Linked DNA regions of Pelodiscus sinensis. The protein of the gene in region 1 purifies or fractionates together with the protein of each later gene. This does not show direct contact. Links are inferred from orthologs where the notes say so. Each region holds a gene or a part of one and is shown in the gene's direction. Other genes may lie near its edges.

Evidence for each region. Proteins that work in one complex are often made in the same cells at the same time.
Region 2: the proteins of POLR3K (region 1) and PDRG1 purify together in Homo sapiens (affinity purification with mass spectrometry; 3 studies listed by BioGRID and IntAct, with this or other methods). This does not show direct contact. The link is inferred for Pelodiscus sinensis from reciprocal best matches to the Homo sapiens genes POLR3K and PDRG1.

Annotation. Positions count from the first base shown.
Region 1 is NC_134726.1:4,937,406-4,944,918, forward strand, and holds POLR3K (DNA-directed RNA polymerase III subunit RPC10), read left to right. Parts: upstream 1-4,954; 5' UTR 4,955-4,977; coding exon 4,978-5,088; intron 5,089-5,321; coding exon 5,322-5,409; intron 5,410-6,747; coding exon 6,748-6,875; 3' UTR 6,876-6,983; downstream 6,984-7,513. Other genes in the region: SNRNP25 (U11/U12 small nuclear ribonucleoprotein 25 kDa protein), read right to left, coding at 2,259-2,333, 2,672-2,777, 4,458-4,548, 4,785-4,901. UniProt on the Homo sapiens protein: Core component of RNA polymerase III (Pol III) which synthesizes small non-coding RNAs using the four ribonucleoside triphosphates as substrates. Can mediate Pol I proofreading of the nascent RNA transcript.
Region 2 is NC_134728.1:1,577,710-1,585,223, forward strand, and holds the start of PDRG1 (p53 and DNA damage-regulated protein 1), read left to right. Parts: upstream 1-4,285; 5' UTR 4,286-4,362; coding exon 4,363-4,446; intron 4,447-4,530; coding exon 4,531-4,606; intron 4,607-5,995; coding exon 5,996-6,070; intron 6,071-7,514. UniProt on the Homo sapiens protein: May play a role in chaperone-mediated protein folding.

The DNA of each region.
Region 1 (7,513 bases):
ACCTCCAGTCATGCATTAAGTGACATGACTAACATGTCACATGCACTCCATTCTTCTCGTCTCTTCCCCAGGAATCTTGCCTGCTCAGCACTGTTTGGGGAGGGAAAGGAGGGGCTGGAGCAAAGGCATTTCTTGCAACCACCAACCTGTATGCAGAAGTCAGACAAGCCTTCCCTCCCTCCCTCCCCTCCAGTCTGTGCACGGAGTTGCCAAGTTTCTTTGTTCAGTGTGTCCAGTGCCAGAGTGTGTGTAATAACTAGAGAATGCAACAGGTGCTCATGCTGCTCCCGCCTCCAGTTACTGAGTATGTGCATGGGGAGCTGAGATGGTTTGTAAACTACTTTGGTCCCCAGTGATATGCCACTGAGCAGGGCCAGGAGCCTGCACCTCTTCACTCCCTCCTCTGGTGATGTTACCACTCCCTTCTGCCTCACCACCAGAGCCACTCTCCCCCTCCCCCTCCCCCCAGGTTGTTCTTGGTCTGCTTCCTCTCCTCCTCTGATCCCAATGCCTCACTGCCAGTTCAACCATAACAAGAAAAAAAGCCCCAGACCTCTTTACCCATGGTTCCAGCCAATCTCTGCCCTCCCAGCGCCATCACAGCACACAAGTCCATTACTTCCCCAGGGAAAGTAATCCCCCTGGACCCCATGCCTCTCTTTCCCCAAGCCCAACTTCATCAGTGGGCATTTATGGTATTGTCAGGCTAACTTAAATAGCCCCTTAGAGCAGAGTGTTTGTCATGTTTATCTGGGAAGCCACACACACACACCTATGGTTGGTGTGCTGTAAATAGCAACTGCCTGGGGAAGACAGACCCTACTCTTGATGACTGTGACTAGGGAAATGGCTTTTCCCCCACCAGAAAGGGTTAGGGTGACTCATGGCTGCTCTGTTGAATTTCAAGGTTTGCTGACTTCAGAACATCAAGTCAATTGTTAGACACCCCCCTCCAGGAGTGTAAAATCTTGCACACTTAGCCAATGCCTACAGTACCACTTTTAGCACTAAAACTTTAGTTGTTCAGGGGTGTGGAAAAAAACAAAACAAAACAAAAAAACACCTTTCTGAGCAACAAAAGTCTTAGTGCTGAGAAGTGCCGGGATAGAGAATACTTCCCTGGGAACCAGGCTCTCAGAGAGCTTAACAGCCCTCATTTGAGGTAGTATTTTTTATCCCCAGGAGAGGTCTCCCCCAGTGATGAAGTGTGGCTGTCCTGCCCAGGCATACTGACACAGGGTGTGTAACGTCAATGATTATTAAAAATGTAAATGTTGGCCCTGGCAGTGGTGTATCAAGTGAAACTGAATCTGTCATGGCCAGTAGCAGAGCTGACCAACCTATGGAGAGAGTAATGAGTTCTCTTAGAAAGCCCTAACAGTTACCAAATTGCTTCTACTGAGGTTCCTTAGAAGACCAAGCCAGGAAAGGAGCCTTAATGATTTCAGCCCACTTTTGCGGGAACAGTCTGAACAAGAGTTTCTGGTCCAGCTAGAGCAGCTGTGGCCAACCTGCGGATCGCGAGCCACACGCGGCTCTTCCCCCCCCTTAAAGTGTGGCTTGTGAACCCTCCTCCATGGCTCGTGAAGCTGCCCCTGGAAACAGACCCTGGTTCCCTGAGCTCACCAGGAGCCGTCCGGCGCAGCGAAGCAAAGATGGCGCTGATATGGCCAAGAAGCCAACCTGAGGTTTTGTTTTTTTTTAAAAAGCAGTGTCTTTTTTTGTGACAACTTCCCCCCACCCCCTTTGCACTATATGCACAACTATTTTGGCTCTTTTCCTGTAATGGGTTGGCCACCCCTGGGCTAGAGGGATATAAGCAGTTTCTATTTTGTTTTTGTAACTAAAGAGAAAAGCCTCTCTAACTGTGCACATACTAGATTAGACTCAATAGACATGTTGGCCATGTACTGGAAAATCTCCCCCTCATATTGCTTTGTTGCAAGGGTTAGGCAAACCCCGTTTTAATGAGGCTGCTGGTCACAGGTTTCCCCAGGGAGGAAACACATGCCTGTGTTGAGGTCAGGGAGAGATGTGCAGGTAGGTCAGTGACCATAACACCGACCCTGGAGCACTCTATGAGGCAAGGCAGCCACACCTCTCAAGCTTTCCATTGGAAAATCTAACCAGAATCAAAAGGAAAAGATCAACCCTGTATGCACAAACATTTTACAAGCATATAATCGGACAACCCCCATCCAGCCAGGCCTCTATCTAGCCCCAATCGGCTCAGTGAAGAGAAAAATCCTGCCACTTACTCTCTCAACTTCTTTTTGTCATCTGTCATTTTCTCTCCAGCAAAGCTTAAGTGATATGTTCTCCATACATAGGTCCTGGAAAAGCAAAATTCCATGACTTAACGGAATGACTGAGCAGCATGGGCCTTCAGGCTCTTCCTGCCCCACATGTGCTTTACAAGGGTCTCTACCCTGCAGTGGTATCTCTTGATTTGATCGATCGATCGATCGCTCGCGCGCTCTCTCTCTCTCTCTCTCTCTCTCTCTCTCTCTCTCTCTCTCTCTCTCTCTCACACACACACACACACACACACACACACACACACACACACAAAGGGCACGATTGCGTGAGTGGCTACTTTACATGGTAGCGACAAGATGCATCAGATTGCCCATAGCACCCCCTTGTCTTTTCTGGGAGCCCCCCCACTCACCAGCTAATGTGCTGTCTGCCTCCTTCCCGCTCTTGCTTCAGCTGCACGTATCGCTGGATGGCCTTCTTCAGGTCCAGGACGCTGGCATTCTGTACCACTACCACAGCTAAAATGGAAGACACTGTCAACTAGCAGTAACCCAAGAGATGCATTCCGATAGGCAGAGCCCCACCCTGACCTGTTGGAAGTGGCACTTTAAGTGGAGCTGCATTGGGCAGAAGGGACAGCCAGCCCTCAGCACCACTGGGACCACACCATGCCTCCCCCAGCCAGCCATCAGCACCACCCTGGACTGCGGGGATAGGGGCAGTGATTAAAGGCCCGGGACTCCAGCTGCCACTGCAATAGCAATACTGCGGCAACAGTGGCACCAGAGCCCCAGGCGCTGTTAAATCACTGGGCCCCGGGAAACCTGTCCTCTTTGCTGCCCCACCTCCAGTCTGCAGCCTTGGCCTGGGCCAACAAGGGGAAGAGGTCTCCTTCCCAGAGCTTGCTCTGCCTCTGAGCTGAACTAATCCTGTTCCCCAATCAGCTGTTCATGGCTGGGGAAGGAGGGGTAGCAGCAGCTCTCTTCCTCTAGGAGCTCCATGAATCAGGATTCCTGGCACTCTGGGGCTATGTCTAGACTTTTCGCAATCAGGGCTTTTTTGTGCAAAACAAATCTGAGCTGTCTACACTGGCCCTTTTGCACAAAAGCTTTGCATAAAAGGACTTTTGCCAGAACGGGAGCAGCATAGTATTTCCGCAAGAAGCACTGATTTCTTACATGAGATCGTCAGTGTTCTTGCAGAAACTCAAGCGGCCAGTGTAGACAGCTGGGAAGTTTTTCCACAAAAGCGGCTGCTTTTGTGGAAAAACTTGCCAGTCTAGACACAGCTTGGGAGTCTTGAAGAGCCATGTGCTAGACCTGAAAGAGCCACATGCCGCTTGTGGGTAATGTGCTTAGGCTTAGTGCTGCACTAGATCAAGCGGCAAGAGAAAATATGGGAACTGAACCTCGGTCTCAATATCCTCCCCAGATCCTACCCAGCTTAAGCAGGGGCTGCCCATACCTGCCCTGTGCCAAGATCTTAACTGGCAGCAACTACCTACCTAGTTGACTTTCCCATTTATCCCCTGCTCACTCCAGCTTCTGACAGACGAATGCTTCAGAGCACGGACATGGCTGTGATTTGCAGGGGACACAATTCAACACCGTCCCTGCATGTGCCATTTAACATGACAACCGTGTACTTAGAGCATATATGTGATCTTAGAAGGTAAAGCTACACTGTAATGAAGACAGGCCGTTCTTGCGCAAGAACCCGCAGAGCAGCCTCACTGCCCGCCTGCTCTTGTGCGAGACTTACAGTACAGCGGCAGAAGATGGGGCTTCTTGTGCAAGAGCTACGCTCTTTTCTAACAAGCGTAAGCGCTCTCGCGCAAGAGGGTAGTGTGGACGCGCGGCAGGAGTTTCTTGTGCACGAAAGCCGGATGGCTAAAATGGCTCTCTTGCGCAAGAGAGCATCCACACTGCCAGGGATGCTCTTTCACAAAAGCACGTGGCAGTGTGGCCGTGTTCTTGTGCAAGAACCCGCCGGTGTAGAGACAGCCTAGGAGCGGATCTCAGAATCCCTGCTCCAGTTTGAGCCCACATGTCTATGCCGCAAGTTTTAGCCCCATAGCCCGAGTCCCGCCAGCCAGAGGGGATGGACTCAATGCTGCGGGCTTTCCAGAGCAGAGCGGCCCCCCAGCGGCTCCCAACACCACCCCGCACAGACGGCGCAGGCCAGTGCGGGGGACTCACGCATCACTTCTTCATCCGCCTTGCACACGCGCACAGTCATGGCCTGGCCGTACTCCAGCGCGATCTGCGAATTGATTTCCTCCACCGTGACCTGCCGGGAAGCGAAGGGCCGATGAAGCGCCCGGCGCCGGCAGGGCTCCTGCAGCCATGGGGGTCTGACCCCCTCCAAGGCTGTATCGCCCCGCCCCCACCCGCAGTCACGTGGGGCGCGAGCTCGGGACACGCCCCCTCCCCCCGTGCGACTCGTTAACGGTCAGTGCCGCGGGGCAGTCACGAGGCCGCGGGCGGGGCCGGGCGCGCGCCGCGCGGGCGGAGGGGAGGCGCTACCTGCACGGGCAGGTCGCAGAGCAGCGGGTCCTGCACGAGCCGGGCCAGCCCCTCCTGGAAGAGGTCGAGCACCTCGGCGTGCGCCAGCTCCTCCTCCTCGGGGCCCGACTCCGCCATCGCCGCCGGCAGGGCGGGGCTTCCTGTGACCCGCTCGGGGGAAGAGGCGGGGCCGCGCCGTGACCCGGAAGCAGAAATGCTGCTGTTCTGCCCGGCCTGCGGGAACGTGCTGGTGGCCGAGGAAGGCGCGAGGTGCCACCGCTTCGCCTGCACCACGTGTCCCTACGTGCGCAACGTCACGCGCAAGGTAACCCCCGCCCCCCCCTGCCACCTCGGTGGGCGGGGACTGACAGCCCCAACGGCCGACCTGCTGGGGCAGAGCAACCAATCAGAGCCTGGGCGGGGGTTGCCCTGAGGAGGCTGCTGGGGGCGGAGCTAATCGCTAGGAGGGTGGGGCTGATGTGGGCGGGGCTCCTGTCGTGCCTGAGCCCCGCCTACCAGGTGGGGGCTGGGCAGGCACTTCACAGCCTGTCCCCACAGGTGAGCAGCCGCAAGTACCCCAAGCTGAAGGAGGTGGACGATGTGCTGGGCGGCGCGGCGGCCTGGGAGAACGTGGACTCCACGGCGGGTGAGCGCCGGCCTCTGCGCTGCTCTCCGACTGGCCTGGGCCAGCAGCCGGCCCCGGGCCCCCTTCCAGGAGATCTGGCTCCAGCGACAGGCCACCTAGCCCATATCCTTAGAGCCCTGCCGCATCCATAGCCCCCACAACGAGCCGCAGACACCTGCACGTACCACCCCTCTGCGGATGCAGATACCCGCGGATTTGCAGGGTTCTAGATTAAAAAATTTGCATCCACATCCGCAGAAATGAGCTGCTGGTCTCCGCTTCCCCAGATACTTGCGGACATAAAGCAGGTATCCGCAGATTTGCAGGGCTCTACGTATCCTGTCCAATTACATAGCCAGCACCAGGTGCTTTGTAGGGAACAAATAGAACGTGTGGTTATCACGTGATGGATTTTGTCACCCATTCTCAGTTTCTGGCAGTCAAGCTAGAGCCATTCAGAGCATGGGGTTGTGTACCTGCTAGTTTTGCCTAATAGCCAATGATGGACTTCTCCTCCATGAACCTCTTTTGAAACCTTTTATGGTTTTGGCCTTCACAATATCCCCTGGCAGTGAGTCCCACAGGTTGTCTGTGTTTTGTGAAGAGACACTTCCTTCTGTTTGTTTTAAATCTGCTACCTGTTAACACAAGAACCTGGAGTCACCAAATAACATGTGAAGGAGGAAATATTTTCTTATTTACTTTCTGTATATCAGTCATCATTCTATAGACTTCTGTCACATCCTCTCTGTTATTTCTTTTCCAAGCTGAAATACCCCAGGCTATTTAATCTCTCTATAGAAGCTGAGTCATACCACGGATCATTTTTGCCGCCCTTTCCAATTTTGATCTATTTTTTTTGAGAGGGGGTGACCAGAATTGCACATATTATTCAAGGTGTGGTTGCACCATGGATTTATGTAGTGGTATTATATGTTTTGTCTTATTGCCTATCCCTTTCCTACTGGTTCCTAATATTGTCACCTCTTTTGATTGCTGCTGCACACTGAGCAGATATTTTTCAGAGAACTATCCACAATGACTCCATGGATAGTTAGTGTTGCCCTTGTATTTTAGAACCAGCTAGTCCCCAACATGCTAAATTCAGTGCCATTAGGGGGTGTTCTCAAGCACAGTGGCCTGAGGTTCTCATCTACCCCTGAAGGCCCTTTTAAGTTCTCTCATCATGTAAAAAGTGAGCCAGTGGACATTTGGAAATCTCTCTTGAATGGCTTGTGGAAGGCTGCATTCTAGTCCATCAGGTAGAGTGGCCCTCACAGTGAGCTCCCCTGGCAGAATGAAGAATTTGCTTTATTACCCTGGGAGCTGTACTCACTAGAGTTCTGGTTTCTTTTACAGAGCCATGTCCCAAGTGTGAGCATCCTCGCGCCTACTTCATGCAGATTCAGACCAGATCAGCTGATGAACCCATGACCACCTTCTACAAGTGTTGTAATGCCCAGTGTGGGCACAGGTGGAGGGACTGACTGGTTTCAGATTTAATTTCTTCAGTGTTGTTTTTGCTGTTTGTTTGAAAATTCCCCAGCTGAGTTGTATGATATATGGTAATGTGGAAATAAATATCCCTGGTTTCAGTTGTTGCATGAGTTTAAATTAACATTGACTGCTGCTAGTGCAGGCATTCACCATAATCTGATGGTCCAGGGTGAAGGTTATGCATATACTGCACATTTTCCTAATGGCACACACAGCAGAACAAAGAGCTGCCTCTGTTTAGAGCTGTGGTGTCTAACCAGTTCTGAATCAGTAGCCAGTATAGTGGTTGCTGCTATAGCAAACTAGCCCCTCAGCCAGCCAAATAGCCACATGTGGCTAGCGTATTGGATGCTATGGTGTAGGGTGGTGGGTCACCAGCGCCTCCTACAATGCAGAGGCTAGGTCACTTGCATCACCACGAAGTGTCCACCCAGCTCTTGTCTCTGTTGTACTCAAGAGTTGGGGGCACAGGATCCAGTAGAAGGTTGTAGGGAAAACAAGTACGTGTAGGCTTCCCGGCTCCCAAATAAAGAGGTAGAGGCCTGTATGCCTGCAGCTGGAGCAGCAGAATATTAGCCCCTTCTCCCCTTGATTTTCCATGTGCAGGTTTATGCACTAGTTGTGTGAG
Region 2 (7,514 bases), on another chromosome or scaffold:
TTAATGGAAAAATTTTCTGTTAAAAGCATTTGTGGAAAAGAGCGTCTAGATTGGCACGGACGCTTTCCGCAAAAGCACTTTTTGCGGAAAAGCGTCCGTGCCAATCTAGACGTGCTTTTCTGCAAAAAAGCCCCGATCGCCATTTTCGCGATCGGGGCTTTTTTGCGCAAAACAAATCTGAGCTGTCTACACTGGCCCTTTTGCGCAAAAGCTTTTGCGTAAAAGGACTTTTGCCTGAATGGGAGCAGCATAGTATTTCCGCAAGAAGCACTGATTTCTTACATGAGATCGTCAGTGTTCTTGCAGAAATTCAAGCGGCCAGTGTAGACAGCTGGCAAGTTTTTCCGCAAAAGCAGCTGGTTTTGTGGAAAAACTTGCCAGTCTAGACACAGCCAATCAGTTTTCCCGGTGCGGCCATGAGGCATGTTCATAATTCTCATTGTCACCCTGGATCCTCTGTGGAAGATAACCGCAGTGGTGAATTTCCATTCTTCAGGTTCAGTAGCTGGTTTGGGACCAGTCCCAGATCCCTGCCCATACCACAGCCTCACATTTTCGTTCCTTCCGATCTCGTGTCAATGCCATCTGGTTCCAGGAGCTGCCTGCATTCAAGTTACTTGAGCTGTTCTGTAATCTCTTCCTCAGAGCCGTCTTGCTCTGTTCCTGCCATTCTCTGATTTCCTGAAATAGGGATTTCCTTCTCATCTGCTTTAGGAAGGTTGCTGATTTACCTTCTCTCCAACTGCTTCATCCCCTTTAATTCCCCTACCCACTCCTTGATGTTCTAAGGGCTTGCAGACACATGGGTACCATTGTTTGCCTGCATTGTGCCTTTTCATCGCACTTGATTTCCCATCCTTGCAGACACTTGGCACTACAAGAGTGGGTCTTAATATTCTAAGTGATTTCTAAGCACAGCAACCCCCCCACCTTTATGCAAATCAATCATTGATACAAATTCTGTGAGGTTTCCTTGTGCATTTCCTTGGCCAAATCTTGTCCCTCGTGCAATCCAGAACAGGATGCCAAAGTTACTCGCTGCTGCATTATTCCAAGGACTTCTGCAGCTGAAGTGGTTCTTAATGCCACGAAAAGCCTTCAATACTGTCATGACAACGGTTCAGTGACTTGGCAGGGACCAGCCTTGGAGAAGCTCTGATCCTTTGCCTGTATTGCTTTTGTGCATTAAACAGATGCTTCTCTGAGAGCCTCCATTTAATTACATGCATGTAATTTACTATTTCATGCAGCAGAGTTGCTTGCTTCATTAAAAATGGTGCTGACTCACTTCCACAGAATCATCTCCCCATCCTGAGTTGCTAAATATTCAGCTGTCATTTCTGCAGCAGAGCGTTTTGGCAACAAAGGGGTGTCCAGGCAGTGATCAAACAGAAGAGGCATGGAAGGGGATGCTGCCAAGTCCTGTCCTTATTCTTCACCAAGGACTGGACATCACGCTTTGCTCTTATACTACAAACAGCACCTTTGCCCTGCCTCACAGTTACTTCAAACGGAGGGGCTATTTGCCTAAGCCCTCTTCTCTCTGGCAGGGAATTCTCTAAAATATGTTTGTTAATTTCAAATGATGTTTGCCATATAAAGACAACTTCATCTTCAGCTAAGATCCCCCTTCTTTCTTGCACACGTACGCACAAACATCCCCTACAAATGGACACGGAACGTCTCCATTCTCCACAAACATTCAATTATTGTGAGAAGAACAAAATGTAAAGCCAGTTCACACATCTCAGCTGAAAGCTGAAGTTATCTGGGATACTGCTGTAGCCGGAATTCGAAGGAAGAATTATGCAACTGAGCAACCTCTACGAGTATCCATAATCGACAGACCTAAGTGTCTGTTTAGATCAGGTGCGTCACTGGTCTCAAGAATTGGACTTAGGAAGCAGGACATGTGTCACCCATGCTGACTTGGTGATCATTAGCAATCCCATGGCAGAGAATCACAGAATACCAGAACTGAAAGGGTATCAAATCCAATCCCCTGCCCTCACAGCAGGGCCAACCACGTTTAAGTTTTGTGTTGTTAACCCCAATGCCCCAGGTCAATTACAATGTTGGTAACTGTGTTCTACCCACCTGGACTCCCCTGCAAGGTCCAGGTAACAGAATTTTTTGCCAGTCCTTGCCCTAAACTGGTATGCAGTGTTACTGGTGGCTTTTAAACAATTGCTACATCCCAGCCCGGAGGCCGATGCACTGTGGAGAAGGGTGAAATGGTCCTTCTGGGACAGGAGGTGGCTGGCAACAGGCTTTGCGATGAGTGACAGGGAATGACAGACCCCAAGGGCACTTCCCACAAGAGAGACCCATGGGGAGGGGAGGGCTTGGCAACAGAGCCCCGCAATGGGGGGGGCATGGAGGAGGAGAAGTCCTCTGCAACAGAGGACCAAGGGGAGGGGGGGTTGACCAGGTGAGCCCCAGCCACGGAGGAGGGAACCCCCTGGGAGGAGCGTGGGGGGAGGGGCCAGCAGCAGATGGGGCCTCCCAGAGAGGAATGTGGGGGCTAGCCCTAGAGGTGGAGTCCGGAGGGGGACACCCAACAACAGAGCGGGGGGGGGACTCAGGGAGGAGTCGGGGGACACCCAACAACAGAGCGGGGGGGAGACTCAGGGAGGAGTCGGGGGGGACTCAACAACAGAGCGGGGGGGGGAGAGGAGTCAGGGAGGAGGCGGGGGGGACCCAACACCAGAGCGGGGGGGGGCTCGGGGAGGACCCAACACCAGAGCGGGGGGGGGAACGGGACGACTCGGGGAGGAGGCGGGGGGGCCCAACACCAGAGCGGGGGGGGGGCCTCGGGGAGGAGGCGGGGGGGACCCAACACCAGAGCGGGGGGGGGGGGGGGAACGACTCGGGGAGGGACCCAACACCAGAGCGGGGGGGGGGCCTCGGGGAGGAGGCGGGGGGGACCCAACACCAGAGCGGGGGGGGGGGGGGAACGACTCGGGGAGGGACCCAACACCAGAGCGGGGGGGGGGGACTCGGGGAGGAGGCAGGGGGGCCCAACACCAGCGCGGGGGGGGACCCAACACCAGAGCGGGGGGGGGACTCAGGAAGGAGGCGGGGGGGACCCAACACGAGAGGGGGGGGCTCGGGGAGGAGGCGGGGGGGGACCCAACTCGAGAGGGGGGGGCTCGGGGAGGAGGCGGGGGGGACCCAACACCAGAGCGGGGGGGGACCCAACACCAGAGCGGGGGGGGGGACTCAGGGAGGAGGCGGGGGGGACCCAACACGAGAGGGGGGGGCTCGGGGAGGAGGCGGGGGGGACCCAACACCAGAGCGGGGGGGGCTCGGGGAGGAGGCGGGGGGGCCCAACACCAGAGGGGGGGCCTCGGGGAGGAGGCGGGGGGGACCCAACACCAGAGCAGGGGGGGACTCGGGGAGGAGGCGGGGGGGACCCAACACCAGAGGGGGGGGACTCGGGGAGGAGGCGGGGGGGACCCAACACCAGAGCAGGGGGGGGACTCGAGGAGGAGGCGGGGGGGGACCCAACACCAGAGCGGGGGGGGGGGGGACTCGGGGAGGAGGCGGGGGGGACCCAACACCAGAGCGGGGGGGGGGCTCGGGGAGGAGGCGGGGGGGACCCAACACCAGAGCGGGGGGGGGCTCGGGGAGGAGGCGGGGGGGACCCAACACCAGAGCGGGGGGGGGCTCGGGGAGGAGGCGGGGGGGCCCAACACCAGAGCGGGGGGGGGGCTCAGGGAGGAGGCGGGGGGGCTCGGGGAGGAGGCGGGGGGGCCCAACACCAGAGCGGGGGAGGGCTCGGGGAGGAGGCGAGGGGGGCCCAACACCAGAGCGGGGGGGGGCTCGGAGAGGAGGCGGGGGGGCCCAACACCGGAGCGGGGGGGGCTCGGGGAGGAGGCGGGGGGGACCCAACACCAGAGCGGGGGGGGGGCTCGGGGAGGAGGCGGGGGGGGGGCTCGGGGAGGAGGCGGGGGGGACCCAACACCAGAGCGGGGGGGGGCTCGGAGAGGAGGCGGGGGGGCCCAACACCGGAGCGGGGGGGGCTCGGGGAGGAGGCGGGGGGGACCCAACACCAGAGCGGGGGGGGGGGCTCGGGGAGGAGGCGGGGGGGGGGCTCGGGGAGGAGGCGGGGGGGACCCAACACCAGAGGGGGGGGGCTCGGGGAGGAGGCGGGGGGGGCGCGGGGAGGAGGCGGGGGGGACCCAACACCAGAGCGGGGGGGGGGCGCGGGGAGGAGGCGGGGGGGCCCAACACCAGAGCGGGGGGGGCTCGGGGCGGAGGCGGGGGGGGCGCGGGGAGGGGCCGGGCGCGGGGCGGGGCGGAACGGGGCGCGCGGCGGCGGTTGCCGGGCGGGCGGGCCGGCGTTGCACAGGCCGGGCCATGGCGCGGGAGCCCGAGCTCGTGCTGCGCTACCTGGCCGAGCTGGAGGCGCTGGCGGAGGAGGCGCTGGCCGGGCGGCGGCAGGTACCGGGAGCGGGGGGGGGACCCCCGCGACCCCCCCCCGCCCGTTCCCCCCCCCCGGGCTCTGACCCCCCCTCTCTCCGGCAGATCGCGGAGCTGGACGCGAAGCGGAACCAGAACCGGGAGGCGCTCAGGGCGCTGCGGACGGACCCGGAGCCCGCCGGTGAGGGAGCCAGCGCGCATGCGCCGGGCGGCCCCCCCCTCCCGCTGCAGAGCGGCCCGCGGGCTGCACGCGAGTGTCCGCCCGGGCCGCCTGCAGCGTCCGGCTCCCCCATTGGCCGAGCCGCCCTGCCAGTCTGCACGGGCCCGCCTTGTGTTGCAGCCAGGCCAGGCAGCTACAGCTCCACTGCTTGCCTACAGTGTGGGCGGGTGTCATTGCAACCCCTCACTGGCCCTTGGAATCGGGCTGCGTCCAGACTGGCCAGTTTTCCCGGAAAATCAGCCACTTTCCCGGAAAAACTTGCCAGCTGTCTACACTGGCCGCTTGAATTTCCGCAAAAGCACTGACTTCCTGCTGTCTGAAATCAGGGCTTCTTGCAGAAATACTGTGCTGCTCCCGTTCGGGGAAAAGTCCCTTTTGCACAAAACTTTTGCGCAAAAGGGCCAGTGTAGACAGCTCAGATTCGTTTTCCGCAAAAAAGCCCCGATCACAAAAATGGCGATTGGGGCTTTTTTGCAGAAAAGCGCGTCTAGATTGGCCACGGACACTTTTCCGCAAAAAGTGCTTTGGCAGAAAAGCATCCGTGCCAATCTAGACGCTCTTTTCCGAAAATGCTTTTAACAGAAATCATGCCAGTCTAGACGCAGCCACTCTGTATATGAGAACATGATATTCTGCTCTGCGTTTTTAGCAACAGATTTATTAACTAAGACCCAATGGCAGACTCTTCACTGGGATGGTGAAAGAACCCAACTTGGGCACAGACATCCCAAGTTAGTTTTGAAGAGCTGGTCGTTGGAAGAAACGTTTATAATTTAAAAATTGAGGAGATTGAATTAGAAAGTTACAGACAAAAATAGAGGGATGCCATCTTTAAAGTCACTTCTTAAAACAGAGCTGCATTTAAAAATTTACTTGATCTCTGTAGTAAATATTGAATAGTTTCAGAAACTAAATAAGGGTTTTGGGAAACCAAGTGTGTGTCTTTCTGCTCTGAAAGGGTAGAATTGTTTGTGGTGACTTAACTCACTCTTGCATAGGTTCCGTGATTTCTGCTTTATATCCATATCTCATTTTTGTGGATGCGGATACAAATTTTGCATCTAGAACCCTGCACATTTGTGGATATCCACTTTATATCTGCGGCTATGGATGCAGGTATCTGTACCTCGTTTTTGTGGATACAGATGCCAGTACAAAATATTGAAATCCACGAGACTGCATCTTGCTTAATTTCTCTTAGAAACACACCTAAACGATTCTGTAGAGTAGACTATAGGGGGATTTACAAAGGCTAGCCTGCTGGTTAGATTTTACATTTATTTTGTACCCAGTAGGAAGCAGAGAAGCGCATTGTGAAAATATCTACATAGGCTTGCTTTCTCTTTTCAGAAACAGCAATGGTTTGCTTTGGAAACATGTTTATTCAGCTTCCAAAATCAAAGACTAAAGAAATGATTCAGAAAGGTAAGACAGATGTCAGATTTCTAAAGTCTGTTTGAAAACTCAAGCGTCAGCCAGTATTGAACAAGGGGTTTTTTTTGCATACCGTGGACACAGACACAGGAGTTGTCAGATGTGTGGTACTTGTGCTAATTTAGTTGCTGAGTTACTCTCTTTACCGACTTAGAGCTTTTGCACGCGGGGCTTTTATTCTTGCTGCCATGTAGAAGCTTGGCTCCTACCTAGCACTTCTCATCCCTAGGCCTCAAAGTGCTTTACAGAGAAGGCTTAATTACGAGTATTTATATTTTACAGATAGGGAGATTGAAGCACAGAGGAGTAGCTTGCCACACACAGAGCAGTGGCAGAATAAGGAGTAGAACTCAAGTTTCCTAACACGCAGGTTATTGTTTTATCCCATGTGCCAACCTGCATTGTGAACCATGTACCCTGTGTTTCCTTTTCAAAGCGTGGCACAGCATTCTTGAGGCAGATCAGAGGAAGAGGCACTGAACTCAGCTGGGAAATAAGATGGTCTCTGTCCATATTGTGCACATAACTGAGACTTTACTCTTTCCCAAGAAACTAGGAGACTAAATGCATAAAGCTACACTATGTGCATATTTTAACACTTAAGTATAAACTGTACAGGGACAAATTAGGTCAAAGAATTAAGGGCGCAGAGCTGAGGAGGAATTTCGGAGGGGCCCAGGCAAGGTAGGTAAATGAACAACAAAGTGGCAGATGGAATTCAGTGGGGACAAATAGATATTAGAGGGAATAATTTGAACCCCTCATACATTTCACTGAGATGTGCATTAAAGCAAACTGTGTTAGGGTACAATAGGCTGGGGAATGCTATGGAAAATATCTGAATACAGCCTCTCCCCGAGTTACGAACAAGTTACGGACCAAACACTTGGCCGTAACTCGATCTGTTCGCAACTCGGACCCCATTGAGTTACATAGTGACTGCGCTGTTCGTAACTCGGGGACCGCCTTTACGACCGCTCCATGGGAGCTTTGGTCGTAAATGCGAACGGTCGTAACTCGGGGACCGCCTTTATGACCGCTCCATGGGAGCTTTGGTCGTAAATGCGAACGGTCGTAACTCAGGGACCGGCTGTACCAGTCTATAAATCAATAGGGCACTGTCTTTTTAATACTATATGCAGCATTGGGCCCCCATATCAAAGGAGGCACAACAGAATTCGAGGGGCTTTGGAGATGAGTGACAAAAAAATCTCTGCTATGAGGGGATGTGATAAAGGTATTAAACAAAAGGGGGGGGCAGGCGAAGGTGTATTCAACTTGCCTCTAATGCAAAGGGCAAAGGACATTCAATGAAATTGAAAGGAGGCACATTTTAAAGCTGCACTCAATACAAGGGTAAGCGGGTGACATTTTCTGGCTGGTGCTATGCAGGTCAGCCCTTCCGTCCTTAAAATCTGTGAAAGTGGGCAGGTTT